Canis lupus familiaris: one gene and its partners. The protein of the gene in region 1 binds, or shares a complex with, the protein of each later gene. Links are inferred from orthologs where the notes say so. Each region holds a gene or a part of one and is shown in the gene's direction. Other genes may lie near its edges. The genes, in order: HRAS, MAPKAP1, RASGRP4, SOS1 and RASA1.

Region 1 (5,724 bases):
CCCACCGGGCGGGGTACCAGCGCGGACCGGCCGGGTGTCAGCGCCCGCGAAGGCGGTTATCAGGCGGAGCCCAGCGCCCACCTTTCCCGGCCCTGGCCCTGCGGGAGGGACCCCCTCCTCTAAGGGTGGCGATGCCAAAACAAAAGGAAAGCGCCCCCGAAGACGAGGGAAATGCAGACCTGGACACCGGGAGGGGTTTGGGGTGTCCGCGCTCTCGGGGGACGCCGCCACTCGCTTTCACTGCCGCTCCTTGACTCCGCGTCTGTGCGCGTCAGCGGGCGCCGGGCTCTGTCCTAGCCACCGCGCAGTGCACGGGCCGGCCAACCGGCCACGGCCTCGGCACGTGCTGTAGGCGATGTGTGCGGGCGGGGCAGCCCCCCCCCCCCCGAGGGGCCCGCCAAGGTCACGGCCTGCAGTGGGAGGGGCTCCACGAGAACAGCGCGCGCCGGCACCGGAGGGGGCAGGACGGGAGGGCGGGCAGGGCCGCCAGAGCGGGGCCAGCCTGGGCCTCCTGCGGGCTGCACCGTTCTTCCTTTTTGTAAACAAGCACGGTGTGTTGATGCACTACTTTGAAATTTAAAATAAAATGTCGAAACCACGTCTTTTTTGAAAGTCTGGAAAAGATGCGGGGTGTGCGTGTTCGCGCTCCGGATGGGGGAGCCGTCGGCACGCAGCCCTCGGGCAGCTTTCGGGCTGGTTTGCAGAGGGCCCATCGTTAACTGGGCCCCGCGCAAGCGTCTGCAGGGCCGGAGCCTCCGGGCTAGGGGGCTGGGCGGGCCGGCCTGCAGGGGGAGGCTGAGGAGAGGGGCGAGGCTGCGGCCCAGCGAGACCCCTGGGGCGGGATCAAACGATGCTCCGCGCCGCGCTGCCCCTTGTGGCCTGGGCGCCCCGGGTGCCGCGCGCACGACGAAGCCGAGGTGCCAGGCGCCCGTTCCGGAGCCACCTGATGGGAACGGGGGTGTAGGGCACCGAGCCCCGGCCATGAGGCCCCAGAGCTCGGGGCGCGGCCCGGCCTGCCCCGGCGCCCGCCTCCCGTCCCGGCCGTCCGCCCGGCGCGCCGACCCTGACCCTCCTCGAGCCTCGTCTCCCGGCCTGACCCCTCCGCTGGGCCTCGCGGCGCAGGGAGCCCCCCACCGCGGGACACGGGCTCCCGCCGGTCTGCAGCGCCCCCGCCCCGGTGCACCGCCGCCCGCGGTCCTGTCGGGCAGCTCCCCGCGGAGGCCGCCGCCCCGGCCCGCGCCTCTCGCGCTCCCGCCGAGCGCCCGCGGGCGCAGCCCAGCCCCCCCAGGCCGCGGCCCACGAGGGCCTCCGGGGCCGGGCACCGCCCTCCGCGCCGCTTCCCGGAAGCCCCGCCCGGCCGCGGCCCGTGACGGGCGGGCGGGCCGGCCAACCGGCGCGGGGCGGGGCGGGCCGGGGCGGGGCGGGGGCGTGGCCCGACGGCCGCGGCCAATGGCGAGCCGCGCCTGCGTGACGGACGGGCGCGGGGCGGGGCGTGCGCGCCCTCCCCCCCGAGTGTCCGCCCGCCCGCGCCCGCAGCCCGCAGCCCGAGCCGCACCCTCCGCGGACGGAGCCCATGCGCTGGGCGAGCCGCGCGCCCCGGCCCCGGCCCCCTTCCCCGCCCCCGCCCCGGCCCCGGCCCCGGCCCCGGGGGCAGTCGCGCCAGTGAGCGGTGAGTGCGGCGGGGGCGGCGGGCGGCGGGGCGGGGCGGGGGCGGCCGGGGCTGCGGCGCCGGGCGGTGGAGGCGGCGGCGGCGGCGGGGCGCGCGGGGGCGCAGGTGAGCCGCGGGCGGGCGCTGCGGCGGGTGCGGGGTGCGAGGTGCGGGGTGCGGGGGCGCCCCGGGCGGCGGCGTCCGCGCCCTCTCCTCCGCGGGCCGCGTGCGGGGCCCCCAGGTCGCCAGGCGCGCCCCCGAGGCCCGGGCGGCGGGCGGCCTCCGCGATGCACAGCGGGCGAGCCGGGCGTTCGCACCGGAGCCCCGGGCACCGCGTCCCGAAACCTCCCAGACCGGGAGCCGGGCCGGAGGCCGCGGCCCAGCGCCGTCCCCGCGCCTACCCCGCCGGCCTGCTCCCGGGGCCGCCATCCCCGCAGCCCGCCGCTGCTCTCCTGCGAAGCTCGAGCGGCCGCGGGCCTGGGGCTCCCCCCGGGACAGGAGGGCCCGGGCCTCGCCCCCGGAGCAGCAGCTGGCGGCCGCGGGCGCTCCGCAGATGCTAGTCCGGTGCAGCGAGGCGCGGCGGGGCTCTGGCCTGCCCGGGCACGCTGCTGCACTCCGCTGTGGCAGGACCTGTTTCTGCGGGGAGGGGCGGTAATCTCAGCCTGCAGGGCCTCCGGGTCCCTCCAGTGCACGCTTTCTGCCTACCCAGCAACTTCTAATTTGGGTGCGTGGTTGGGAGATGCTCTCAGCTGTCAGCTCTCCCTGCTCTCTCGCAGCCATGAGCGCCGGCGAGGTGCCTACCCCCCCCCCCCCGCCGCCCCCCCCGCTGGAGGTGCCACAGGTGGGCGGCTGCGCCCGGTTCCCTGGTTGTGTGGGGCCTGGGGACCGGGTCGGGGCCGGGGTGGTCTGCCCCACGGGGCTGGCTCAGGGCTGAGAGCAGCTTCCTCAGCAGGTGGGACAGGAGACCTCGTTGGCGTCCTGTGCTGCGTCCCGTGAGGAGCCATGACGGAGTATAAGCTGGTGGTGGTGGGCGCTGGAGGCGTGGGCAAGAGCGCCCTGACCATCCAGCTCATCCAGAACCACTTCGTGGATGAGTACGACCCCACCATCGAGGTGAGCTCGCCCAGCCCTGAGCCTGCTGTGGGCATGTCTGCTGTGGGCTCCGCAGGAGGGCGGCCCCTGCTCGTGGGACCTGGGGGTGGCACCTGGGGACCTAGGAGGGGCTGGTGGCTGGGTGGCCCCGTCCTCGGAGGTGTGGGGCTGGGCGTTCTGAAGCACTGGCCTGCCGCAGGACTCCTATCGGAAGCAAGTGGTCATCGACGGGGAGACGTGCCTGCTGGACATCCTGGACACAGCGGGCCAGGAGGAGTACAGCGCCATGCGGGACCAGTACATGCGCACGGGGGAGGGCTTTCTCTGTGTATTTGCCATCAACAACACCAAGTCCTTTGAGGACATCCACCAGTACAGGTGAGCCTCCGGCCGGCCCTCAGAGCCACCTGTTCCTCTGCCTCTCATCGCGTTTCTCTGTCAGGGTCTCGGATGCAGCCGTGCCTGCAGCCTACCGACTGGCTCCCACCTTCCTTCTTGTAGGGAGCAGATCAAGCGAGTGAAGGACTCTGACGACGTGCCCATGGTGCTGGTGGGGAACAAGTGTGACCTGGCTGCTCGCACCGTGGAGTCCCGGCAGGCGCAGGACCTCGCCCGCAGCTACGGCATCCCCTACATCGAGACGTCAGCCAAGACGCGCCAGGTGAGCCGGCTCCCCACCCCGCAGCTAGCTGGGGACCCGCCCCGCCCCGCCCCTGCCAGGGAGCAGTGCTTATTGCCCCCTCTCCCCCGACACAGGGCAGCCGGTCTGGCTCTGGCTCCAGCTCCGGGACCCTCTGGGACCCTCCGGGACCCCCGTGACCCAGCGGCCCCTAGCGCTGTAAGTGTCCCCGGACGGCAGGGCAGCGAGGGAGGCCGGGGCCCAGGGTTTGGGCTGACACAGCTCCAGGGAGAGGCAGAGGTCCCCAGAGAGAGCTGCCCTGAGCCAGGCCGAGTGGTGACCCTGGGGCCCTGGCCCCTGCCCGCAGAAAGCCCCATGGGCCCGTGTAGGCCCTGCCCTCTTTAATGGGCTGTGGGGGACCAGGGTGGTAGGTCAGACAGGAGCGGGACCCTGGATGTTAGAGCTGGGAGCCAGACCTCGGGGCTGCCCTGTGGGGGAGCTCCTGAGGGCCAAGCCGCCTGATGGGGGGAGCCCTGGGGCTGCCTGTGTGGGGGCGGGGTGGGGAGAGGCCAGGGGGAGCTGGGATGATGCATGAGCTTGACGCTGGGGTCCCTCGGTCCCCTGCGCTGCCAGGCCCCCGGGCCGAGCCGCACGCTCAGCCAGCCCCGTCTTCCCAGGGCGTGGAGGATGCCTTCTACACGCTGGTGCGAGAGATTCGACAGCACAAGGTGCGCAAGCTGAGCCCGCCCGACGAGGGAGGCCCAGGCTGCATGAGCTGCAAGTGCCTGCTGTCCTGACGTCCCCTCCAGGGCCACGTTGGCAGCCCCGCTGGTCCTCTGTGCCCCAGGCGCACAGGCTCGGGGCGAGGAGGTGCCGGAAGCTGGGAGGAGGCGCGGAAGGAGGAAGGAGGAGGGCGAGGAAGGAAGGAAGCGCCCCCGGGGCCCGGCCAGCCCAGGCCCCCTGGACAGGGGGAGCACGGACCTCCCAGGGCGCTTTGCACAGACTGTCGTGAACTGAGGCCACGGGCCCCCCCGGCTGTCACTCTCCCCCAGTCCCGTCCTTGCCCGCGGGGCAAAGGCTGAGTCGCAGTAAATTATTTGATGGTCTTGACCCTGGCGTATGGCCGCACCTGCAAGGCACGTGGGGACGTCAGCTGTGTGTGCCTGGCGGCGCCCCTGCAGGGGCTGGTCGGGGCCGGGAGGTCCCCCCTCCTCCTCTCTGGGGGTGTCTCCACACCCCGTGCACAGAGCTCCGGGAGACGCAGAAACGAGCCGGCCGTGCATTTTCACACAACACCTTATTGAACTTGCAACAGCAAACGGGCTCAGAGCCGAGGGTGTGCGCCTTCCCCTGGGAGACCTTCCTGTCCTTAGAGGAAAGCGGGAATCCCACGGGGGTACGGGTGCTGGAGTCGCCCACTTTGGAGCCTGTGCGGACTCCGGGTGGGGGTGTGTGTCCTGAGGTTGGGGTGTTGAGAGGCGGTTCTGGGGACAGCAGAGCTGGCCTGGACCTGCGGCCCATGGGCTCCTGCTCTAGGTCCCCGCAGGGCAGCTGGACCCCGGCCTCGGGCCCACTGGGGCCGGGTGACTGACTGCTGGAGCCCCAGCACGTGGAGGAGCCTGCCTCCTGGTGTGGGTGCGGGTGGGGCCCACGGGCCTGCCCCTGCTGCCCTGCCCTGGGGTGTCCCGGGATCCCCAGGGCTGCCCTAGGTCAGTGACCTGGATCTGTGGGGCACGCCCAGGGCCCAGGAGGCCACATCCGGCTCTGAGAGGGCTCGCTCAGCCCGGGGCCAGAACGCAGGCCTGGCCAGGGCCCCGGAGCACTGGATCCCATTAGTGCTGGGCCTGGGGGGCAGTTCTCGAGTCGCCCCTGCCCCCACAGAGCCTGGGGCCAGGCCAGCCCAGGTCCCTCTGGGTCAGGGGTTGGTGTCCTGTGCGGGGGGTGCCGCCCTCCGGGAGGGACAGCAAGATGAGGCAGGGCACGGTGACGGCGGGCCAGAGCCTCTGGGCCCCCGCACTCACCACCACGCTCTGCCCGCGAGCATTGAGCTGCCCTGTGGACGCAGAGGGCAGAGGGTCCCGGGCCTGTGCGGGGCCTCGGGGCAGCGGGCTCAGCGCCGCCCTGGCTCTGCCCTGGCTGTGCCCGTCACTGCCCAGCGAGAGGCATGAGCTGCAGTGGCCGCGGGGCAGGAAGGGTGTCCTGGGCCCGACAGCGTCGTCCCTAGGGGGCTGGGGGGACCCCGTGATGGGAGTCCCGGGGGTGCTCCAGGGCCTGGTCCGTCGCGGGGCCTCTGGGGTGGCCCAGGCAGGTGCCGAAGGGAAGGGGACCCCGTTTTTTGTCTTCAAGCCCACCGTGTCCGGGGGCC
Region 2 (5,625 bases), on another chromosome or scaffold:
TTGATTTTTGCACAACTGATCAGAGAAAATAACTTGTTTTCATCTGTGTTTGGAATATCTTTGTCTTAGAAATCAAATCTACCTTCAAATGGTAGTTTGCTGCTCTTAAAGTGATTTAAAACATACTCTTTTGGTTCTAAAAGTAGTGTTAGGATAAGTTGATAGTGTCCCAAGGTGACAGTTTTGAAAGGCATTAGTGAAGACAAGCTCTTATATCTGTATTAATAGAAAAAAAGCAATCCTTTCTTTATAATCACACTACACATGACATGCTCATAGATGACTTATCTCTACAACAAAATTGTATAATCTTTGGAAGACAGACAGCAACCCTTACTGAATTTCTGCCATGTATAAGATCCTTTGTTGCCAGAAGGGATGTGGCAATGTGGCTCCTGTCCTTGTGGAACTTATAGTCTGAATCTTCAAGTACATGTCATGGGAGGTGAGGGCTTATTTCCTAGGGCAGACTTCTTGAAATTCCCTATCAGAATCAGTATTGAATAGTATTTGTTGAGTGAGTGATACAGATTCCAAATTGTATGAAGTCGTAGTATACCAATAAAGAAGATATCTGTTCTTTTTTGGGGTATTTTGGGGCCTCTGTCCCACAAGGATAAAGTTAGAGACTTGCTGTGTGCTCTCAGAAGTATTTTCCAATGACTCTTTACTTCCTAAGAGGTGATGGAGCAGATCCATTTTCCGGAAAACAAACAAACAAACAAACAAACAAACACATGCACATTCTGTTGAGTGTACTTAAGTATACTTTTATTTCTTTGCCCTTTGCCATTTGACTTGTTGGTGCTAGAACACCCATTAAATGTGTAGCTTCTCATTGAAGCCCTTGTTTTTCACAAGAGAAAACTATTCAATATGAAATTGAAAGTACCTGCCCCTCTGCTAGCGACTAGTTGCCTTACTCTCGTGGGAGAGACACTTACTGTGATTGCTATGAGGATGTTTGCAGTTTTGGCCATCTGTGATGCTATGATTTTGTTAGAAAACAAATGCTCTCATTTATAAGTAAATCCATGATTGAATACATCTCTTTATGATTTTATAAGTAATTCTTATTTTTACAAGTGAAATTTAAATGCTCCTCTTTAATTCTGTAATGTTTTTCTGATTAATACACTGAAAATGGTAGGCTGACATTAACATTTCTGAGACTTGGAGGAATCTCATTATATTAAATACACTAGGACTGTGTTAGGGTATAAACTTTTTGATTCAGAGATACCTTTCCTTGGCATTTCCCATTAGCCTCTGTGTAAAATAACTACTCAGTAAATATATTTGAAGGAAAAAAATGAAGATTAGTGTAATTAATTTGATTAATTATACTTTCTCTTAATCTTGGTATCTTTAAGATCTACCGAGTGATGTCATTAGAATGTTACTAGACAAAAGTTTTTAAAACCTTTGTTGGTTATAATGCTTTATTAACTGGATTTCCCCCATATTTCATTTTTAGAAGAGACAAATAACAAGAAAATCTGGTGTTGTAGGCCTTTCTAAAAATAAATACCTCTAGGACTGTTCTGGGAACATATTCAATCCAGTTTTCATGTTCCTTGCATCTCATAATGATTTTGGAGGAGGAGGAAGAAGTTGACCCTGGTGACCTGCAGAGTCCTCTTTCAGAAAGGAACCACACATTTATTTTATGTGCTGTGCACTTACTAAAGAAGGATGAATATTGATATATTTTAGGATTATTTTAAACAAGAATTGAAAGCCGAAGTTATTATTTTTTACCATCATCATTGTTATTATTAAAAGCAGCTAATAATTATGTGCCTGGTGCTCTTTTGAGCACTTTCCCTGCATTATCTCTTATACATCTTCTCATTCCTGGAGTCCCCATTTTATTAATGAAGAAAGAAAATAGGCTCAAATAAGTTAAGGTTGTTTTGACCAAGATCACATAGCCAGCTAGTGGTAGGGGCACGATTTGAACCCAGTTCTGCCTGCAGTTCTTTCTCTTAACCAGTGTCCTCTAATACAGTAGTCCTCGATCATTTGCAGGGGGTGCTTTCCAGGAACCACAGTGATGCCTGAAATCATCGATGGTACCAAATCCTATATGTACTATTGTTTTTCCTGCACATACATACCTATGATAAAGTTTAATTTTCGAATTAGACACAGTAAGATATTAATAGCGATAATAAAACAGAACAATTACAACTATACTGAATTATGTGACTGTGGTTTCCCTCCTCAGAATATCTTAATGTACTGTGCTCAGCCTTCTTGTGATGATGTGAAATGATAAAATGCCTATGTGATGAGTCAAAAGTAAGGTGAATGACCTAGGAATTGTGACATTGCATTAGGCTACTTTTGACTGTCAGGGTACATCAGAAGGAGGATCATCTGCTGTTGGACTGCAGTTGACCATGAGTAACAACAAACTGCAGAAAATGAAACCACAGATGAGAAGAGACTACCATGTTTTCTTTGTTGAGTATTCCCATTTAACTAAGGAGGTACCATTTTATTCCCAGAATATACATCATTTTAGTTTCAACAAGATTCAGGAAGCAGTTCTTACAATGAGATTTCTAAAGTAAGAAATTAATTTGGTAGCAGAGAAGTTTGATTAGTAAAGTTTATTTTAAAAGCACAATACTGGGATCCCTGGGTGGCGCAGCGGTTTGGCGCCTGCCTTTGGCCCAGGGCGTGATCCTGGAGACCCAGGATCGAATCCCATGTCGGGCTCCCGGTGCATGGAGCCTGCTTCTCCCTCTGCCTGTGTCTCTGCCTCTCTCTCTCTCTCTCTCTCTGTGACTATCATAAATAAATAAAAATTAAAAATAAATAAATAAATAAAAGCACAATACTGGGGCGACTGGACGGCTCAGTCAGTTAAGTGTGATTTCTGCTCAGGTCATGGTTTCAGGGTTGTGAGATTGAGCTCCATGTCAGGTTCTGTGCTTTGTGTGCAGCTTCCTTGGGATTCTGTCTCTCCCTCTGCCCCTCCCTTTATCCCTCCCTCTCTCCCAAAAATAAAATAAAATAAAAGCACAATACTCTGTTAAACCAGAAGAAAGGAAAATGTGTTTATTGAACAAAATTACTTTGGTGGTTCTTTTTTTTTTTTTTTTTAATTCCTAGTAACTCAAAGTATTGTCTGTGTTCTTTTAGTTGCCTCACAACCATATGACAAAGACAAAGATGAAATGTTAACAAAAGGAATGCCTGGGGATCCCTGGGTTGCGCAGCGGTTTGGCGCCTGCCTTTGGCCCAGGGTGTGATCCTGGAGACCCGGGATCGAATCCCACGTCGGGCTCCCGGTGCATGGAGCCTGCTTCTCCCTCTGCCTGTGTGTCTGCCTCTCTCTCTCTTTGTGTGTCTCTCATGAATAAAATAAAATCTTAAAAAAAAAAAGTAAACAAAAGAAAGGACAGTTTCATACTTTCACACATAATTTGAGGAAAATACGACTTGTTCCCCTGTGACCTTATAGAGTAATGAGGAGACTGCATTGGAATGAAGGAGAAAGAAAGGAAAATTTATTGTTTTAACAGTAATTATGTGCTTTGAGTGGTCTAAGGAGTCACTGTTAATTTGTTTTGCAAAAGAGGAAGCCACCCTCATTGACTAGAGCTGTAGCCCCTAGTGTTTATAAGGATTTCCTTTCAGCTTAGGCTTAATCCTTGTAAGCTCCTAGGTACAGGGATAAATGTTGATTTTCAAGGTAGCATTGTACCACATTGAATTTGTTTGAAAAATGATTCAGTCATCTTCTTTTTTATTCTTAAATATTGCTGTGTACATCATGTTTCTAGGGAGGTGAGCACGTGAAACAATATGAAGAGGAGAAAATAGCCTTTTAAGGAAATTGGCCCACAGAAAGGATGGCCTTCTTGGACAATCCAACTATCATTCTAGCTCATATCCGACAGTCACATGTGACCAGTGATGACACAGGAATGTGTGAAATGGTTCTCATTGATCATGATGTTGACCTAGAGAAGATTCATCCTCCTTCAATGCCTGGAGACAGTGGGTCAGAAATTCAGGGAAGCAATGGTGAGACTCAGGGCTATGTATATGCCCAGTCAGTCGATATTACCTCAAGTTGGGACTTTGGTATTAGAAGACGCTCAAATACAGGTAAACATTGCCTTTTAGTCATGTCTTCTGAACTTTAAATCAGTCAATAATCTTACAGAATAATGCATATTGTTGGAATAGGTTTAATGGGGAAAGTGTCTATTAATTGGAACATGCATGTATTACAGTGAGTCTAAACAACTCCCATTTCTGTGACTGAATGGAGAGTGCCTCTGGAATGGCGTTATTAAAGGAAGTAGAAACTGAATAGATAAAAAAAGGTGGCTATCAGAGGCATGTTGGATGTTCTGTTTCTAAAAAGTCCTCACGTAGAAAGAGAAGTAGACTTGTTTTGAGTATTTTCATAGAGCAACATTAGTCCCAGTGGGTAGACTACCTGGTAGCCGGTTTCAGGTTGACATAATAAAGAACCTTTAATACAGAGAGCTGACTAGCCAAGGAATGATGCTGCTGGAGCCATTTTTTGGCCTTGGAGGGATTGTGGGAGGGTGGGGGGAGGATTGGAGGTAAATAGCTGAATATTTGTTAGGGCTGATTTTAATAGCAATCCCCCTGTTTTTGATATATTATCTTTATTTTCTTAAATTGGTCTCTACCCTTTGATCTTTGTGGCTTGAAAATGCTATTCTTTGGTACATACATATTCAATCATTAGCTTTTAAAAACTTATCAATGCCTATTTTCCAGCTTATGTGTTTTGGAAATCTTTCAAGGGGAATGTGATGAACCAAGGCCTTTACTTAGATAAGTTATTTAGAATCTATAATGTAGTTCTGATATGACAGGGTGTTCTAGGAGATGATTTTTATTAGGTAATCAGAAAATATAATCTCCACTAATCAGTAGGAGTAACCTGCTAACTCCCAGGAAAAGTAATGGTAGGAGATGTCGTAGATCATAGAAAATATTTACATGTTTATTTTCGTGGTCAAAATGTAAAATGTACTTAAAGAAGTACTGCAGGATACAATATACAGTGCAAGGCATGTTAAGGTTTTGGTTCGGAATTCAGCATTCTGTGACATCTCCAAAGAATAATTTGCTCTCATGATGAAAATAATTAATAGCATTTCCCAGTAGCTCAAAGAACTTTTATCAAAATAGGATTTGAGTGAAGGTTTGAATATAATTTAGAACCATTGATTCTCAGTTCTCTAGCTGAAACTGACTTCCTTTGCAAGTTATTGAGGTGGTATCTTATATGACAGGTTAAATGGATTTCAGAAGGAGAATGCTGCTAAATTGAGAGCTTTCTGATTGTATTACTTTGGCTGTACCCTTCACATTTATTAATTGCAATTGAATGTATTTTCCTTCAATGGAATTTGGTTAGATATAGTGACATTGTCAAAATGCTTTTGCTGGCACAGTTTACATTTATGGCAAGACTAGTTTCAGTATTTCCCTACCACAATGCTAAGGCAGGCGTGTATGTTATCCTACCTTGCAAGAGGTTGAAAGAGAAATTTACTTATTTTTTGTTAGCATTGTTCCAGGATAGGAAGTTGAAGCTAACTCGAGAAATAACATCAATTATGA
Region 3 (6,271 bases), on another chromosome or scaffold:
CTTGGGGTTTCCTGGTCATTTGCTCACACTCTCTTGGCCCATTTTTCTATCAGAGTTGGTGTCTTTTTTTTTTTTTTTTTTTTTGCTGGTTTGCAGCTGTGCCTTTCACCTTCTAAAGATTATTCTCTCGTTGATTTTAGATATTGTAAATACCTGTTCTTGCTCTGTCATCTCATCTGATATTCGTCCCCCGGTGTCCTCGTTAAAAGAAATCCTTATTCTGATATTAGCAAGTGCATCCTTTTTCTTCCTTATGAGTTTCTGTGGTTTGCTTCAGAAGTCTTTTCCTTTGTGGTTGATGGTGTTATTGGTGGTATTAACCATCCTTGCTGGCCCTGAGGGTGGCACTTTGTACCAGGGCCTTTTCTGACCTCCCTCCCTGAGGCTTCTCTGGGTCTCCAGGGGTTGGGGCTTGAGGGTACATGGAGACATAACCAAGCTTGGTTCAGCCAGCAATGTTACATCATCTCGTATGATGCAGGTGCTGGGGAGATGGGCTGACAGCCACATCATGGACAGCACCATTTGAAACTTGATGGGGTGAGGGAGGGGGTAAATAAGGAGGCAGGGAGAGGAAGAGAAAGAGTGAGAAGGCCTGAGACTATTCGGGGTATGCCACGTAATGGAAAAGTTAAACAAAATGAGCTCGGTTCTTGTCTATTTAGACATGAAATGTTCTGGCATGTAAAAAAAAAAAAAATCCATGGTGACTTCTTTTGGTGAAAAAAAAAGAGAGAGTGAAAACATACTTCTAAGAGCATTCTGGTTGAATTGACTAACGCACCAGGTTTGGCAGAAGCATATTAATTACTATGACCCATTTATTCTACTCCTGGGTATCCACCTACAGGATTGCACACTTGAATGTTCAGCAAAAGACAAGTGCTAGAATGTTCATAGCAGTCTTACTCACAATAGCCCCACGCTGGAAGCAACTCACCTGTCCATTACAGGAAAATTGCTCAGTAAATCACAATGCAGGAACAAAAAAAGTAATAACTACAACCAAGTATAAAACATGAAAGAATTAAAAAAAAAAACATGGTTATTAAGTGGAAGAAGTCAGACACAATCAGTTATTCTATTTATAAATAACTCAAACCCCGGGCAAAACTACCCTGCTAGAAATCAGGCTAGTGGTAACTTTTGGGAGGTAGGGCTGGGATGGGGCTTGTGCAGGGGGTTTGGGCAAGATGGAACGTTCTGTTTCTCGATTTTGTCACTGCCACATAGATACGCTCCGTTTTTCACAAGCATCAGCCTAAACACTTAGGATTTGTGCTTTTTTTGTATTTCAATTTAAAAAGGTCAAGCATGACACATTTAAGTAAAAGGAAAAAAACGCACATACTCAAAAGAAAAGTCTGTGTTTCTATGAGCATGAATTTATATACCTAAACAAATGCACAGCCAACAGATCAGATGAAACCCAACAATATTCGATATTGGTCACCACTGCCTAAGAGGGACAGTGGGCCGGGGAAGCGGCCCCCAGAGGGTTTACCTCCTTCTGTAATGTTTTTCATAATAAGAGAACAGTCTTTAAGATTGATGAAACGATGTGATGATGAAACGAGTTAATATTTTAAAAGCCCTTAGAACGCTGTGTGGTATGCAGTAGGCACTACATAAGGCTTTGTTACAACAGAACACAATACAGTGAAAATGTTTCCTGGGATACACATGGCATCATTAAAAAGAAACCAGGAGTAAAAGAAACAGAAGATGGGACAACGCCTGGGTGGCTCAGTGGTTGAGCGTCTGCCTTTGGCTCAGGTCGTGATCCCGGGGGTCTGCTTCTCCCTCTGCCTATGTCTCTGCCTCTCTCTCTGTGTCTCTCATGAATAAATAAATAAAATCTCAAAAAAAGAAAAAGAAAAAGAAGGAGAAATGTACAAAGTCTTAGGTCTTGGGCCTTCCCATTCGAGCCTTTGTGTGTTATATACATGAATACATCCCTACAGAAATACAGACTTTCTGAGTATGTGTTTTTACCTAAATGTGTCACAACAGGGAGACTTAAAAAACAAAACAACCAGCTCTGTTGAAGAACAGCAGTGCAGAACAGAGAATCACGGGTCTAGAGACAGAAAGATGGGGGAGATAGAGAGAGAGCCCGCTGGGCGCCTGGGGGTGGGGGCCGGCAGCACCGGAAACCTCAGCCCGAAGGGATCCCCATGTGGGGGAGGGGGGACCTTTGGTCTCTCCCCAGCCTCTTCCTTCCCCCTGGCCTGGGGCTGGGTGGGGAGGGGCAGTTCCTCTTTCCTTCCCAAGCACCGAGGAGGCCCCAGCTCCCAAGGGGCTAAGAAGCTGGAGCATTGGGAAGGGGGAGGAACAGAGCCAGACTCCTGCAAGACCCCCTCCCCCGCACCAGGAAGCATGAACAGGAAAGACAGCAAGAGGTGAGAGGACCCTCCCCAAGGAGAGCGGGAGCGCCCTCAGCCGCTGGGCCCCCGCTGCCTGGGAAGGCTGGGGAGGACGAGGGAAGCCGGGGGCGCCCCGGGGCCGGGGGCAGCCGCACGAGCAGGGGCACCAGGTGACCCATATACTTCGGGGACTGAGGAGCTGCTGGGGCTGCTTGTTGGAGCATCTGCCTTTGCAGTTCGAGCAGCTCGTATCCCCTCTGCCCCGCCCCGCTCGTCCTCGCCCCCTAGATGGGGTGTCTCCGTCCTCCCCGGGGCCTTCCCCGTTCCCCATCAGCGCTGCTCCCTTGCTGCTGCCCCCTGCTCCCGGGCTGGAAACTCCAGGCTCCTGCAGGGCCCTGCCCCGGGGGAGGGGAGTGTGACGCAGGGCCAGGCGGCTCCCCTGCTCCTTAAACCCCTCCTGGCTGCTCCCGGCACTACAGAGAGCAAGCGGACAGTCACAGGTGAGGGCCTGGCGGCCTCTGGCCCGGGCTTCCTAGCGCCTGGACAAGCTGCTTTGCTGTGCTCCCGGGGCGGCGGTGGCTGGGTCCCTAGCCTGGGTAGCTCCTCCAGCCGCCTCCCTCTGGCGTGTCTCTGATGGGCAAAGGGGTCCCCTCCCCATGATATCCAGCAGTTTGGTGGTAGAGATTTGGCTGTCTCTTTTTCTGGCTGTGTGACCTTAGGTAAGCCACTTGATTGCTCTGTGCCCCAGTTTCTTCCTCTGTTTCTTTTTTTCTTTTTTCTTTTCTTTTCTTTATTTATTCATGAGAGACACACACAGAGAGAGGCAGAGACGCAGGCAGAAGGAGAAGCAGGCTTCACGCAGGGAGCCCCATGTGGGACCCAATCCCAGAACCCCAGGATCATGCCCTGGATGTGAAGGCAGATGCCCAACGGCTGAGCCATCCAGGCGCCCCATCTTCCTCTGTTAATAGAATAATCCTAGTCCCTCCTCAGAGAGGCTCAGAAGTCTTCAGCGAGCCGGTCTAGTGGGCACACATCAGAACCACCTAGAGGGCTTGTAACAGATTGTCGGGCGCCTGGCTGGCTCAGTCGGTGGAGCATGTGACTCTTGATACCAAGGTGGTGAGTTCGAGCCCCACATTGGGGATAGAGAGTACTTAAAGGTAAAAAAATCTTTAAAACACATACACAGATTGCTGGGCCTACCTCCAAGGCTTCTGATTCTGGAGGTCTCTTCGTGAGACCCGAGAATTTGTATTTCTATCAGGCTTCCAGGTGGTGCCGGTGGCATGGGTTGGACCACGCTTTGAGAACCACTGATGGAGACGGGGGCTCAAGCCTCTGCCCGGAACACATTCAGTACTCAGTAAATTTCTTTTTTTTTAAGATTTTATTTATTTATTCATGAGAGACCCAGAAAGAGAGAGAAGCAGAGGGAGAAGCAGGCTCCATGCAAGGAGCTCAATGTGGGATTCGATCCCAGGACTCCAGTTTCACACCCTGGGCCAAAGGCAGACCCTAAACCGCTGAGCCACCCAGGGATCCCAATACTCAGTAAATTTCAGCTCAAGAACATTCAGGACTGATTTCCTGAACCCTTAGGATGCACCAAGGCCGTGTTAGTGCCCTTGTGATGAGGGTCTCCCCATTTCTGCTTTCGCTCCGTACCCCAGGCCCAGCTTCTAGTCCACCTCATCACTTTCTCTGGATGTCAAGTTCAACTTTCCCATCTCCCGCCACTTAACAGCCTGAGCAAACTAAGTCCCTTTAAAAAATATATGTTATTTATCTGAGAGGGAGAGAGAGAGAGAGAGAGCACACAAGTAGGGGAAGGGGCAGAGGGAGAAGCAGACTCCCCATTTAGCAGGGAGCCCAGCACAGGGCTCGATCCCAGGACCCTGAGATCATGACCTGAGCCCAAGGCAGATGCTTACATGACTGAGCCACCCAGGCGCCCCAAACCAAGTCCCGTATTTGGCACTTTTGAGAAGCAAGGCATTGAATGTTCATGATAAATTCCTGGAGAAGGTCCAAGGATGACTCCCATTTTTCATATGAGGAAACTGAAGCCCAGCGGCATTAAGTGACCAGCACAGAGTCACACAGCCAACATAACCCTCTCTAACCCCGCGTGGTCTAACCCTCGCGGAAGCCAAGGCCATTCAGCCTGGATTCTTCTCCCTCCTTCCTCCACCATGTCTGTCTCTGTTTCCACCTTTCCCCAACTGGAACACGAGCCTCAGAGAGGCACAAGACAGAGCAGATGGTTATTTTTAAACTTTCCTTGAAGCTGCCTCACCCCGGGGACCCTGCCCAGCTCTGAAACGCCCTGGTGAGGCCACTTTGCACCCATGTCTTCTCTCCAAACCGAGGGACCCAGGCTGGTGGCTAAGACTCGGATCCTGACAAAGTCCTGGCTTGGGGGAGGGGGCTGTCACCCTAGTAGGGGGTCTAGCTCAGGGAGGAGAGACAGATGGGATCTCAGGGGTCTGCTGCTTTCATGAGGGCTGGGGGACCAGCACTGGAGAGCAAAAAGGGAATTCTGAGGAGTCTCCCTGAAGGCAGGCCCTGGGAAGGACAGGAATGAAGGGGGTGGAGGTAGGAGGGGTGGAGGGGTGGTCTTCTCCCATAATCCCCTGGGAGGCCAAGAGTCATCCCAGGGTCCTGCCAACAGGAAGTCTCTCCATAGTGCCCTGGGAGTATACAGTCAAGGGGAATATGGGGTTGATGCCCGGAGGAAGGAGTTCTTATGATTCCCTTAGTAATTCTGGGGGTCTTCTCCATGATTTCCTGGGGGTTCAGGGTGGTGGTGAGAGTCTTTTCCCCTGATTCCCTGAAGTGGGCAGGAGTAACCCTTTGAGTTTACCTGTAGAAAGCTCCCATGACCTGGAATACTCCAGGGGTTTTCTCCCATGATGCTTGGGGTTTGGGGAGTTAAAGAGAATTCTGGGGGTCTGCTCGAAGGAAGGGGTTCCCATGACTCCCTGGGGGGTGTGCCCACAGGAAGTCCCACCAGGAATGCCCAGGAAAGACAGCAGGGCGGGGCCGGCCCCGACAGGCCCGGCGCCACAAGACGTGCCCCAGCCCCCGGGAAATCAGCAAGGTCATGGCTTCCATGGCTCTGGGCATGCTGAACGAGGGCGGCTGCAGCGAAGATGAGCTGCTGGAGAAATGCATCCAGTCCTTCGGTGAGTGTCCCCTTCCCTGGCCAGCCTCCCCAGTCCTAAGGCGGTAAAGCAGCCAACCTCTGTCTAGGTCTCAGGGTTTTTTTGGGGGGGTGGGGGGAGGCGCATAAAATGGTAGCAAGGGTGTGTGGAATGAATCTCGATCACTATTCCGGATGCAGTGAAACATGCATTTCTTTTTCCTGAGATGAGGGGAGGAGGTGGGGTGCTATTTCCATCTACAACATGACTTGCCAGGTGCTGTGCTGGTCTCTGCCCAGTACAGACAAGGAAACCGAGACACCCTAAGGAGGCCAAGTTGCTTGCCCTAGTTCACGCAGGTAGAGCTGGAGCTTGAGCCAGCCAATCCAACTGGCTCTGGAGACTGTGCGGTCCCTTGCCGAGGAGCCATTCTGACACAGAGTCCCCTTCTCCCGCCTCCAGACTCAGCTGGCAGCCTGCGCCGTGGGGACCACATTCTCAACATGGTACTGGCCATGCACAGCTGGGTGCTGCCTTCTGCCCACCTCGCTGCCCGTCTGCTGACCTTATATCCTTCCAGGGCCACGAGCAGTGGGTGGAGGGTAGGGGACAGAGATGCCAGAGTCTGGGAGTTGGGAACAGGGTGAACAGGCAGGTCTGGGATGCCGGATATCAGAGCCTTGACCAGAACTCAAGTACCAGGAGGCCACAGGGGACACACAGGAGCTGAGGCGGCTGCAGATCTGTCACCTGGTCAGG
Region 4 (5,625 bases), on another chromosome or scaffold:
GACTTGTGAAGAGAACCAAATCCATATTCTCACACATTTAGTAGTTTAATAACTAATGGGTATTTGTAAGCTTCTTTTAGCAGTTTTAATGAAGACCTCTAGCAAATAAAATCATTGAGAAACTGTATTTATTTTATTTATTTATTTATTTATTTATTTATTTATTTATTTATTTATTTATAGAAACTGTATTTAATCTACAGCATTCTAGGATCCAGTTTCTAGTTGAATGCTCTCTTAACATGATTTAAAGGAATCTAGGTAGCTGATCCTAGATAAACTAGTCTGGATGTCAGAAAAAGTAATGGGTTATCACTGTGGCCTTTCTCTTCATGAGGTAGATAGAAACCAACTGGAGATGTTCTGAGATCAGGTAACAGGTGGAAGCTTGTTTCCATGCTCTTTGCCTTTCTTCCCTTTGCATTCCTGCGGCTGATGAGTTTAGTAAGTTCAGCCACTCAGAGTGTACAGAGGTCAAGAACTAAGTTGATACAGAATCTTAATAACTGGTTTTGCCACTGATTTTAGTAAGGGCTTAGGCTAGCAATTTGTTATAAAGTCCAAAGCATTCTATGTGGTCAGAACATTTTGGGAATTTTAAAATTGTTCATTGTCTTTTGAAAATGTTGATAATAGCTTTAATCATTCTGAATCAAAGATTTTAATAAGATAATTTTCCTTTTTCTTCTTAGATCCCAATTTTGTTCGGACATTTCTTACAACATACAGATCCTTTTGTAAACCTCAAGAACTACTGAGTCTTATAATAGAAAGGTCTGTTAATGTAAAATATTTAAATTCTTTTTTTTTTAAAGAGATTGAGCTAAAAGATCCTACATGTTTCTCAGAAATAAATTATATGAGCTTTAAATTATAGTTCATGAGTACTTTTTTAAGAACTAACATCTCTTAGATGACCATTTATATTATAATAATCTTTTAGTTTTGATCATTGAAATACAAAAATGAGCATTCTTTTTTACATGGAAACCCAGTATGGGAAATTTCAAATTTATGGAATTAGTCAAGTTAAAGAACTGTATAAAAATGTATAATTTAGGCTCTGGAAACTTAAATTTTGATGATTTAGATGTTCTAAACAGAATTTTTCAAATATATCACATGTTGAAGAAAATGGAGCTTATCAGTGAACAAATACCATAATCAAGAAAAGTGTTTCAGCCACCCAAGGAACAGTCAACTTTTTAAGCATTACCCTTAAAAAGTATTATGTTAGCTGATTTAGAGTGATTACACAAGCCAAAAATGAACAGCAGTCCCATAACTTTATAATCACATTTATTTTTAGACTCTGCATGTATTCTTTATTATGTTTCTCATTTTTTTAATATTGGCAAATATTAATTTATTTTTTAAAAATTAAAGTAAGATCTTTAAACCTTTATAGAAGCCTTACTTGTTTTCACTGATAATGTATGTATGTCTGTAGTTAATTTTCACATTGCTCTCTTTATTGTGCTGACTAGTGAAAAGGTTTGTAGTTTTCAGTTTGTATAATTTGATATTATTGGTATTTTCATTAGTTTGTTCTGTTTTATGTTAGGTTTGAAATTCCAGAGCCTGAGCCAACAGAAGCTGATCGCATAGCTATAGAGAATGGAGATCAGCCCTTGAGTGCAGAACTAAAAAGGTTTAGAAAAGAATACATACAGCCTGTACAACTGCGGTAAGCAGTAATGAAATAACTGAAGTAGTGAAGTCTGTCTTGAGCTTTGGTTTCAGAATTGAAGTAAATAAGGATCTTTCCAAGCAGGAGGAGGTAACAAGTAAAATGAGGGAAGCAAAAGTGTAAGCCACTGATAAAATTATTTAATTTGGAAAGAATTACTCTTTTAATTTACACAATTCATCATGATAAACATTTATGTCTGAGTTCCCATGTAATTCAGTTATTCTTCTGTGTTAATGCCATAGAGTATTAAATGTATGTCGGCATTGGGTGGAGCACCACTTCTATGATTTTGAAAGAGATGCAGATCTTTTGCAGCGAATGGAAGAATTTATTGGAACAGTGAGAGGTATGGTGTTTTGTTTTGTTTTTTAAGTGCCTAGTTTTACATGTAAAAGTACCACTATGGTGACTATCAACTGATGTCATTATTGTTCAGTGTTGTTAAAAGTTGTTTATAATAGTGGCAGCATAAGCACTTGAAAAAGTTGAAAATTTTCATCAAACGTTTTGATTCACAAATTCCTCAATAGTCACCCTGTTGACCTGGTGTATTTTCATTTAGTAAATCAACTTACTGATTATTTTTGAACTGGCTAAAAAAAAAGTCTCAATTTATGCTATTTTTCCACTTATCTGAAGGTCTGTGTACCAGAAGACAATTAGGAACTGGTGTGTCATCATATCCCCTCGAGTTTCAAAGATTCTATGATTGTGTAGGTCTAAGAATGTCCTAGACAAACTTGTTTCTAATTTCCATAGTGCACTCTAAATGAGAATCAGAAAATAAAGAGTTAAATGAGAGTACTTTCATGCATAGTACAAAACAGAGTCACATCAGAAACTCTAACATGAAGGAATCAAGCCCCTGGCACTGTTTGGTGTATAAAATGCAATGTTAATTAGGTTAACAGTGAATGTGTATAGTTTATTCTTATAAATCTCATGTCTTTTTTATGGAGGATTATAAAATAACATTTTGAACTGAAGTTTGGAAGAGTGGAGGTGAGAAATCTCTATGAATGAGTTACTTTCTAATTTTATTTAGAAAGGACGTGGAAGAATGTATACGAGACTGTTAATGGTGGTTAGCCATGGGAAGGAGCATGAGATTAGGATAGGGAACAGGGAAATGGTAAAGGGGAACTTCCTTTTTTTAAATTTTGATCATTGAACTTTGTAATAGCAAAGATATATTTAAGTATCACCTGTCTAATTTTAAAATATTTTAAAAGAATAAAATAATTGAGTGAAAAGTATTTAAATGTCATTTAAAATATAATGTATTTCAGGTAAAGCAATGAAAAAATGGGTTGAATCCATCACTAAAATAATCCAAAGGAAAAAAATTGCAAGAGACAATGGACCAGGTCATAATATTACATTTCAGAGTTCACCTCCCACAGTCGAGTGGCATATAAGCAGGCCTGGGCACATAGAGACTTTTGACCTGCTCACCTTACACCCAATAGAAATTGCTCGACAACTCACTTTACTTGAATCAGATCTGTATCGGTATGTAATTTGACATTCAAGCTGAAAAATCATTTCAAAGGAGTTAATTTTTTTTAATGAAATACTGGTTTCTGCCTTATAGGAATGTTAAAAGACATAAATGAGCTAGTGCCTGAAGTGTGTAGTAGTAAAGCCTTGATGGATAGACAGCCTCCCCTTCTTTCTCTCCTGTTCTGCCTGGATTTACAGGTTGTGTCTGTTGTCACTCCCGCTGGTAAAGCTAAGTGCAGATCCTGGCTTTACCAATCACCGGCTTGGTATCCTTGGGCAACTTGAGCCTTCTTGTGTCCCTGAGCTTCCTCAAGATTAAAATGGGGCTAATGACAGTACCTATTCCTGGGGCCATTGTTAGATTGGAAATAGTCAGTATATAAAGTGCTTAGCACATTGCCCAGCACAAAGTAACTTACATTCAGTAAGTTAGCTGCTGCCCTTGTAGTTGTGAACTTAAGTTATGGCCAGTCATAGCTTCTTTTAGTTTTTCTGCATTAATGTAACTACTGTCTCAGTGTATTTCTCATTTTAAATGGGGACTATTTAGAATTTAGAATAACAAACTATTTTTTAATAACTACATGAATAAAAGGAACTTAATTTATAGATCTCTGTCTGCTCCAAAAATCATCACTTTCCCAAAAACCTAATGTATTAGAATCTACTTTATTTATTTCGCAGGAGCTTTCTGTGGTATGTTCCCCTGCCTCCTTTAGGGGAAGAAAAAAGATTTATGAATTACAGTGGTTACTATATCCTCAGTGAACTGATTATTATAACAGATACCATTATTTAAAAGAACTATCCCAAATTACACTGTCACCCTAATTCATTAAATAGTATTTGTAAGTGCTGGGAAAGATGTTATGAAAAATCCCAATGTTGCCCAAAGCAGAATGCTACTATAAAGTGATGATATAAGTATATAGATACACACATAGAAATAGAAAAATACCCATAATTGTAAGATTTTGTTATGCCTTGTTTTCATAAACCTTTCTGTTGGTGTTCAAAGAAGTTTTATGTGGGTGTTTGATTTTATTTACCTCATTTACTTAATAAAGCAGCGTGCTAGAGGCAAAGGTATCATGTAGAATTATTGTGTCTTGATGATTTTAGAGCTGTACAGCCATCAGAATTAGTTGGAAGTGTGTGGACAAAAGAAGACAAAGAAATTAATTCTCCCAATCTTCTAAAAATGATCCGGCACACCACTAATCTCACTCTGTGGTTTGAGAAGTAAGTAGTGCTGCCATCATACGCTTCATAGCAGCCCGCTCTTAGAACCTGAAATGCAGTTCTGCTTTTGTATGCCTCATGTCCTTTTTTATTCCTCTATTCCTGCTTTGTTTTGCACGGAGAATAGTTTTCTAACGTATTTTTTCCTCTTTTTTTTTAATGTATTTTTATTTCATTTAATGGTTTCTTGAGGATGGGTTTAGTGGATGCTTTATCTTCTCGGAATCAGCTGCAGACTTGTGCTAGCTTGATTCCAGGGTACATAGAGGTGTTCCTCCTAGGTAGCCCTATTCTGTCTTCCTTTTTTGTGGTATTATTGTACTATGTGTTACATATAATAATGAGGCAACTCTGATAATAATACATTGTAACAATTGTTGCTTTACCGTTTGTGGCCCACCTCCTCTATGTAGTTATTGGCAATGTATTATATATAGATGCCTTTTAAGTCCAACGATACATTACATACATATTATTTTATACAGTTTGCTTTTTAAATCAGTTCACAGAAGCAATGAGAAAAAATATGCATTTGTGTCATCTTATGTAATCACTTAATTACTGTCACTAGCACTCTGTTTTTGTGGATTCGTGTTACCATCTGGGGTTCCTTGCTTTCACCCTGAAGAACTTTGTTTAGTAGTCTTCCTCTGCTGGGTTTGCTAGCAACAGATTCTCTCAGCTTTTGTTTATCTGGGGAAGTCTTTATTTTGCCTTCATTTTTGAACGATAGCTCTATCTTCAAGTTAATTATTTCTTCTGCCAGTTCAAATGTACTTTTGAGCCTCTTTAGTAAGTTTTTTAACTATTGTATTTTTTAATTTTAGAGTTTCCATTTGGTTCTTTTCATTACTGCTGTGTCTTTTTTTTTTTTTTTTTTTTTTTTTTTTTACTGCTGTGTCTTTTATGATATTCTGTGCTGCACTCTGTCATCCTATCTTCCTGTACTTTTTAAATCCCGCTTTCTTTCCATTAGTTCTGTAAACATATTCGTAATGGCTACTTTGAAATCATTTTCTGTTAAATCTGACATCTGGTCCTTCTCACAGGCAATTACTATTCCCTGCTTTTTACCTTATGAATGGGTCATCCAGTAATTCCCCCTTATCCATGGAGAATACATTCCAGGGCCCCCAATGGATGCTTGAAAGCATGGATAGTACTGAACCCTATATATACTATGTCTT
Region 5 (6,184 bases), on another chromosome or scaffold:
GTGGGTGGAATAGGTACTTTGAAGTTTTCTTCTTACTTTGAGGGTCTAAGTTTAAAAGAAAAAATACCGTTCCAGGGAGGCAAGTGTAAGAAGTAGGACTGCATTATTCTGTTAAGTATTATGAAATTACTTCATTATGCATTTTCTCATTTCCCAACCACTTGTCTAGAATAGTAGGGCTTAGCAACACAATACCTACCTCTCTTATCCACCTACCTAATGAATGGCATGGAGTTGACTTTCTCATTTATTCTTCTTTCTTGAAGTGTTGCACACCTCCTCCTTGATTAGCATACTATAGTACAGTGATTCTTAAGTATGTCAACTTGGAGGGCCTAGTAAAACAGATTCCTGGGTTTTCCGTTTCAGAGGGTCTGGGATGGGGCCAAGAATTTGCATTTCTAACAGGTTCCTGGGATTACAGCTGGTCTAAGACCACTCTTGTGACTAATCAATCTTTGCTCTCTCAAGTGGTACACTGCATAAGAGGTAAGCACAATGAGAGTCCTCAGGATTAATCAAGTTTGTCAATGATTTGGCAAATAGGTTTGTGCAAACTTCTAAGAAAAGGAAATGCCTTGTGTGCACCTTGCCACCTCTTTCAGTGGCTTCCCTTTTTTTCCATGAGCCTGTTAGAGCCCCTACTCATCCCTTATGTACTCCTCTGTTGGTTGGATCATCTTTAGCAGAGAAAACATTGATCTCAAAGACCAATATTCGAAGGTAGTCAATGTGAGATTCCTCCTGGGAGAATTTATTTATTTATTTATTTATTTTTTTCTCCTGGTAGAATTTAAAAGAACAATATATGAATGCAAGGGGCAAATTGCCCGTACTGTAATTTCAAATAATGGGAGTGATTCTTCCACTTACATGAATGAACGCAATCGTTTATACATATTCTAGCATAAAAGAGGAAACAAAACCCATTTCTGGCTTTACTTAGGTTGAGACATCAGTTTATTGATAATTTTTGAAACTATGCATTATTGTCTCTGGCACTTTGCAACGTTGACATTGGCCTTGTTCAAGGTTCTCCATGCTTCACATATGCGTCCTGGAACAGGCCCCCTGCCTTCTGCACACAAGTGTTGTTTGTGGCACCCGCTCCTCTACACACGTCATTAGTGCCCAAGACCTGAGATGGCACAGGTAATTGTGTGTGTGTGGGGGGGGGGGGGCGGGGAGGGACATGACAGAGAGGAGAGATGGTGCTGTGAGTGAGGAAAACAAAACGTGTACGGTCTTAGAAATCAGAATTTGCCACTATTTCTACCAAAATTCTTAGCCCCCCCCACCCCGTAAGGCTCCCCTTATCTATTTCCTTTACTTCTCTTGAGTTTCAGAACGTAGTTTGAATTTTTTTTTTTTAAATACGTAGTGGGGGATCCCCGGGTGGCTCAGCGGTTTAGCGCCTGCCTTCGGCCCAGGGCGTGACCCCGGGGTCCTGGGATCGAGTCCTGCATCGGGCTCCCTGCGTGGAGCCTGCTGCTCCCTCTGCCTGTGTGTCTCTGTCTCTCATGAGTGAACAAATAAAACCTTAAAAATAAAATAAAATAAAACACGGAATAGTCATATAGTGATTTCTAGTATGCGACGAAAATCAAACAAATCGATAGCCCTGCCACTCCCCCTCGGCCCCGGGCCCCGGCAGCGCCGCTTCCTAAAGGCGTTATTTTCCACCAGCAGGAAGCAGGGCCCCGGCTCCGCGGCATCTTCCTTGCCGTCTTCCTCGGCGCTGCCCCCTCCCCTGCAGCGTCCCCGCCGCGTTCGCGGAGCCGGGCCCCCCAGCCCTCGGCCCGCCCCTCCGCGGCGCACGCTGACCCGGGGCGGGGCGGGGCGGGGACGGGGCGGGCGCCCCCCCGCGGCCGGTCCCCCGCACCGCGCGCCCCCGCCGCTTCCTTCCCTCGGGCCCAGCAGCGCGGCCGCCCCCGCGCCAGGGCCGCGCCTGCGCACAAGCCGCCCCGGCCCTGCTCCCCGCCCTTCCTCCCGCGGCCGGCTCCTCCTCCGGCGCCCCGCCTTCCTTTCTCTCTCTCTCTCTCTCTCTCCCTCTCTCTCTAGTCGGTTTCCGCGAGCGCTCCAGGTCGGCAGCCGCTCGGCCCGCTTCCCCGCCCCCCGCCCCTTCCTCTCCTCTCCTCTCCTCTCCTCTCCTCTCCTCTCCCCACCCCTCCCGCCTCCAGCCCCGCGGAGGATGCAGCGGCCGCCGCGGCCCGGGCCCCAGCAGCGGCACCGGCGGTGGCTGCGGTGGGGGTGGCCGGAACTGGGGTGGTGAAGCGGCGGCGGCGGCCGAGCGGGCGGCAGCCGCGCCAGCCGCTTCCTCTGTGCTTCCCTTCCTCTCTGGCGCGGCCAGGAAGTTTCTCACTAGTGTGCATGTGTGTGAGTGTGGGTGTGCAGGCTGAAGGTGCGGGTTGGCGTTGGTGCCGGCGGTAGGTTTTTTGCCCACTCGGCTTCCCGTAACCCGGGCCGCTCCGGAGCCTGGGCTGTGGCCCGAGGAGGGGGCGCGGCGGCGGGCTCGGTCCTTTTGTTGTCGTTTCCTCCGCCCGGGGAGCCGCCAGGGGGACGCGCCCGGGTGGGGCGGCTGGGAGCCCGGGCCTGCTGGCCCCCGGGGCTCCCGGGCGAGCGTAGAGCGGAGAGCGGAGCGGGCTTCAACATGATGGCGGCCGAGGGCGGCAGCGAGGAGGGCGGCCCGGGGGCGGCGGGGGCGGCGGGGGGCGGCGCGGCCGCGGGCTCGAGCGCCTGCCCGGCGGCGTGCAGGGTGAGGATGCCCGGCGCGCTGCCCGTGCCAGCCGTCGCCTGCTCCGGGCTGCCGGAGGCCGGCGGGGCCGCGCTGGGCGCCGGGCCGGGGGCGGGAGCCGTGGGGGGAGCCGGACTGTCAGGGGGAGGGGCCGGGGCCGGGGCCGCCGGGGCCGGGGGAGAGCCGGCCCTCGCCAAGGGCACCGCTTCGCTGGCTGCGGACACCTTCGGGGCGGGCGGCGCCTTCCCCCCGCTGCCGCCGCCGCCTCAGCTGCCCGCCCTGGGCGCCGCCGGCCTGGGAACCGTGGACGAAGGGGACTCCCTGGATGGACCCGAATACGAGGAGGAAGAGGTGGCCATCCCCCTGACCGCGCCTCCGACTAACCAGTAAGTGCACGCAGCCGTCCCGGGCCCGGGGACGCCGGCTCCTGGGCACAAGTGCGAACCCCTGGGACCTGCAGCTTTTCTTGCAGTTGCGATCCGTTGGTGAAAAAGTTTGGAGCCTTCGGGGTTGGCGTGCGTCGGGACTTGATTGGATCGCTCCTCTTCCCTGAGGGCGTGCACGCTGCCTTCGGCGTCTTTTGCATCTTTCTGGTTAGACCCTGGGAAGAAGTGAAGTTTTTGAGCTAGGAAAGCATGGAGAGTGGGGGGGGAGGGGGGGGAGGGGGGGCATGTGTATCCATCGGGAACCGGATACGGTGCTGCCTTTTCCAAGCCGAGGTTGCGTCCCCGGGGCTCAGCTGAGCTTGCAGCTGCCCGGGCCGTAGAGTCTCTCTCAGCCTGTGCGTGCATTCCCTGTTGAAGTCAGGTTATCCTTAGTCATAAGGCTTTGGGTATGCAAGTATTCCAAGGAGTATGGTATTGATGACCATTTTAAACATGCACCGGTCAGAAGGCTTTGCCTTTGTGGTGCTGTGCATCCCCAGCCTTTCGGAGGCAGAGCGATGCAGAAAAGTCTTCGGGTCTCTCCTGAAGATGTGGGTCGGCGAGAAAGGAAAGGAGTTCTGCGAATTACAGGTGTGGTGAAGGGTCTCTCTCCTCTTACGGGGTCTGTGACGTAGGCCGTGAAATTCCCATTTATTGATAACAGCCTGATCTTTTTATAGTTGAGGCTTTGTAAGCACAGTTCTCAAGTAAAATTGTCAATACTTCAATACTTTGTTGGTGGCCAGTGCAGTGTTCCATTTGGCAATCAGTTGCGACGGTATATTGCAGGGCATTTAGGGCAAATGGCTTTTTTCACACGGTGAGTACCTTCCCCTTGTTCCCTCCATAAGTGAACATAGGTGTGTGTTTGTAAAGGTGGACCTTGATGAGAGGAGAGTGTTACTGGGAAGGGGTAATAGATGGCAAAACCGTTCTTACGGATCCTTCACATCAGTTATTATCTGACCTTTAGAATTTCGACAGCCTTGGTGTATCAGAGGAAAAAATATTTGGTTCATATGATGACATTCACTCTGGACAATTGAAAGTATTTGTTTGTTTTGGATAAGCTTTGGAGGATTTAGAAAGGACTTAGAAAATGATTAGAAAAAGATTCTGTGATAATCCATTCTTAACCTAGGGCTACATCTTTTGATATTTAAGGGGGAAAGGTAAAAGTAGCCTGATTTGTGTCAGCCGTGGTATACTGCTCAGTAAGAGTTTAATTTTTTTGTCTAACTTTATTCCAACTTACCATGTTATGTGTTTGTTTTATAGACCTCTGAAGGTGTTCTGGGAGTGTGAAAAATTTGAATTTTACAGCACTGTTTACACACCTTCAAGCCTTTTTGAAAGAATCAGTAAATATTTAAGCGCTCACTACATCACTCCATGCTCAGCACTAGGGTTATAATAAAGTGCAACTTTTCATACTGAAAGAAGGCAGTCTTTTGCCAGTGTTTGTAACTGAGTTATATTAGGCATATTTGTATATTGTAGTTATAAATTTTTTTAAAAAAGTGATTTTGTGGAATGGTTTTAGGTTCACAGCAAAACTGGGCAGAAAATATAGTGTTCCCATTAGATTTTTCAGGATAAACATGAAGGAGTATTTGGAAAAATTTTTAGAAGTCTATTGTGTGAGGTTTCCATCATCATTAATATATATTTGGGAATAAAAATAATACTTGCATGACTGTATATATGAGAATCGTAAATGTTCTGAAAAGTATCCTCCATTTCAAGTATGTTTTTTAAATTTGTCACTGAGGAGTACAAATTACCCTCTTTTCTTTATCTTAGATATCAAACCAGAGTCACTGGAGGCAATACAGTGTAGTGTTTAAGGGTGCAAATTCTGAAGTTAGACAAGATTTGGGTTGGAATCCTGACTCTACCACTTATAACTGTGTGATCTTGGAAAGGTCAGTTTCCCCATCTGTAGAATGGGGATAATAATGGTACCTCCGTCATAGCATCGTTTTTAAGATTTAATGAGAACCCTGAAGTATTCAGTCAGCACAGTGCTTGGCACATAGTAAGTGTTCAGTAAATAGTATGCCAAAGTAACAGTAATATTTTATTGCCATTAAATTGCCTACTGATTCTATTGGTACAGGGAACTCCCTCACTGATAGTTACTTTAGGCAATGGTTCGTACTCCAGAGGTCTAGCTACCATGGTTAGCTATATTAAGAATTATGACTTCATAAAGGTTTCCATCAGGTTAAGTAGGTTTAGAGATGAAGTTCAGATCTTTTCTATGAATTCCTTTTTTTAATTTTTTTTTATTTTTATTTATTTATGATAGTCACAGAGAGAGAGAGAGAGAGAGAGAGAGGCAGAGACACAGGCAGAGGGAGGCAGAGGGAGAAGCAGGCTCCATGCACCGGGAGCCCGACGTGGGATTCGATCCCATCTCCAGGATCGCGCCCTGGGCCAAAGGCAGGCGCCAAACCGCTGCGCCACCCAGGGATCCCTGAATTCCTATTTTTAAAGGGCTTTAATGATTTGGTTAACTAATGCCAAATCTTTTGTAAGGTACTGAAGAAATGTTCTTCGACTAAGTGAATATTTGTTTACTAGTGAGTGGTCACCTTAGTTATTGCATAGCATGATATTAAGGGGTTCAGGTCACAGGTTTGAGTCCACAGTGGTTTGTTAGAGTAGAGTTCCCTTGCACATGGAGTTCAACCCTGTGTCCAGCTAGTTTGGTGCTGTTGGTCACAAGAGCCGTTAAATGACGATATATGGATGGACAAATGCAAATACCTTACTGCCATTAGTATTTTGTACCTTGTTTTTCTGCGTGCATGGTGAGTCATTGTCTCATGTTTATTACCGAGGGTTTTCATTAGTTTGGTTAAGGACAGAAAAGTTTATATAGTTTTAACTATTTATTTGAATATTTTCCTTTTACAAGTTTTGAGGAAAATTCAAAAAGCATAACATTCTTCCTATGTATTTTTATGCTGTAGAAGTTTCTGTATCTAAAATTCCCGCAGATTGCTTTTTCAAGAGAGAA

What was found.
Region 2: the proteins of HRAS (region 1) and MAPKAP1 are in contact, whole or in part, in a crystal structure (PDB 7VV8), measured with the Homo sapiens proteins. The link is inferred for Canis lupus familiaris from reciprocal best matches to the Homo sapiens genes HRAS and MAPKAP1. Residues at the interface, in NP_001123914.1 of Homo sapiens: Gln25, Asp33, Ile36, Glu37, Asp38, Ser39, Tyr40, Arg41, Leu56, Glu63, Tyr64, Met67; in NP_001006618.1 of Homo sapiens: Glu277, Ser278, Phe280, Ala286, His287, Gly288, Phe289, Ser290, Leu291, Ile292, Gln293, Arg311, Arg312, Lys313.
Region 3: the proteins of HRAS (region 1) and RASGRP4 are in contact, whole or in part, in a crystal structure (PDB 6AXG), measured with the Homo sapiens proteins. The link is inferred for Canis lupus familiaris from reciprocal best matches to the Homo sapiens genes HRAS and RASGRP4. Residues at the interface, in NP_001123914.1 of Homo sapiens: Glu3, Gly12, Gly13, Gly15, Ser17, Ala18, Ile21, Asp33, Pro34, Thr35, Ile36, Glu37, Tyr40, Arg41, Asp54, Leu56, Asp57, Ala59, Gly60, Gln61, Glu63, Tyr64, Ser65, Ala66, Met67, Arg68, Asp69, Gln70, Arg73, Thr74; in NP_733749.1 of Homo sapiens: Tyr228, Gly232, Val234, Val244, Asn248, Ser251, Asn288, Met291, Ala292, Gly295, Gly296, Cys298, His299, Ser300, Leu327, Ala328, Ser329, His330, Asn331, Asn332, Tyr333, Ala334, Arg337, Leu351, Gly352, Val353, Leu355, Lys356, Val359, Ser360.
Region 4: the proteins of HRAS (region 1) and SOS1 are in contact, whole or in part, in a crystal structure (PDB 4NYM), measured with the Homo sapiens proteins. The link is inferred for Canis lupus familiaris from reciprocal best matches to the Homo sapiens genes HRAS and SOS1. Residues at the interface, in NP_001123914.1 of Homo sapiens: Gly13, Gly15, Ser17, Ala18, Thr20, Ile21, Gln25, Asp30, Glu31, Tyr32, Asp33, Pro34, Thr35, Glu37, Tyr40, Arg41, Asp54, Ile55, Leu56, Asp57, Thr58, Ala59, Gly60, Gln61, Glu63, Tyr64, Ser65, Ala66, Met67, Arg68; in NP_005624.2 of Homo sapiens: Glu589, Lys602, Trp809, Thr810, Lys814, Leu822, Met824, Ile825, Arg826, Thr828, Thr829, Thr832, Glu836, Asn869, Leu872, Val875, Ser876, Asn879, Ser880, Ser881, Tyr884, Ser908, Asp910, His911, Tyr912, Lys913, Leu916, Phe929, Phe930, Gly931.
Region 5: the proteins of HRAS (region 1) and RASA1 are in contact, whole or in part, in a crystal structure (PDB 8BOS), measured with the Homo sapiens proteins. The link is inferred for Canis lupus familiaris from reciprocal best matches to the Homo sapiens genes HRAS and RASA1. Residues at the interface, in NP_001123914.1 of Homo sapiens: Gly12, Gly13, Ser17, Ile21, Gln25, Asp30, Glu31, Tyr32, Asp33, Pro34, Thr35, Ile36, Glu37, Asp38, Ser39, Tyr40, Arg41, Gln61, Glu62, Glu63, Tyr64, Ala66, Met67, Lys88, Lys117; in NP_002881.1 of Homo sapiens: Gly746, Arg749, Glu783, Thr785, Thr786, Arg789, Ala790, Thr791, Glu799, Lys803, Ser833, Arg894, Gly898, Phe901, Leu902, Arg903, Cys906, Pro907, Leu910, Asn911, Met914, Arg928, Ile931, Ala934, Lys935, Gln938, Asn939, Asn942, Val944, Ala948.

Annotation. Positions count from the first base shown.
Region 1 is NC_049239.1:25,992,810-25,998,533, reverse strand, and holds HRAS (GTPase HRas), read left to right. Parts: upstream 1-2,595; 5' UTR 2,596-2,650; coding exon 2,651-2,761; intron 2,762-2,939; coding exon 2,940-3,118; intron 3,119-3,241; coding exon 3,242-3,401; intron 3,402-3,488; exon of another isoform or gene 3,489-3,496; coding exon of another isoform or gene 3,497-3,559; exon of another isoform or gene 3,560-4,036; coding exon 4,037-4,156; 3' UTR 4,157-4,469; downstream 4,470-5,724. UniProt on the Homo sapiens protein: Involved in the activation of Ras protein signal transduction. Ras proteins bind GDP/GTP and possess intrinsic GTPase activity.
Region 2 is NC_049230.1:57,559,346-57,564,970, forward strand, and holds part of MAPKAP1 (target of rapamycin complex 2 subunit MAPKAP1), read left to right. Parts: intron 1-3,797; 5' UTR 3,798-3,866; coding exon 3,867-4,125; intron 4,126-5,625. UniProt on the Homo sapiens protein: Component of the mechanistic target of rapamycin complex 2 (mTORC2), which transduces signals from growth factors to pathways involved in proliferation, cytoskeletal organization, lipogenesis and anabolic output.
Region 3 is NC_049222.1:115,413,210-115,419,480, forward strand, and holds the start of RASGRP4 (RAS guanyl-releasing protein 4), read left to right. Parts: upstream 1-2,238; 5' UTR 2,239-2,379; coding exon 2,380-2,402; intron 2,403-5,369; coding exon 5,370-5,554; intron 5,555-5,974; coding exon 5,975-6,080; intron 6,081-6,207; coding exon 6,208-6,270; intron 6,271-6,271.
Region 4 is NC_049238.1:31,193,579-31,199,203, reverse strand, and holds part of SOS1 (son of sevenless homolog 1), read left to right. Parts: intron 1-692; coding exon 693-774; intron 775-1,564; coding exon 1,565-1,687; intron 1,688-1,935; coding exon 1,936-2,039; intron 2,040-2,982; coding exon 2,983-3,205; intron 3,206-4,318; coding exon 4,319-4,438; intron 4,439-5,625.
Region 5 is NC_049224.1:21,307,016-21,313,199, reverse strand, and holds the start of RASA1 (ras GTPase-activating protein 1), read left to right. Parts: upstream 1-2,650; coding exon 2,651-3,120; intron 3,121-6,184. UniProt on the Homo sapiens protein: Inhibitory regulator of the Ras-cyclic AMP pathway. Stimulates the GTPase of normal but not oncogenic Ras p21; this stimulation may be further increased in the presence of NCK1.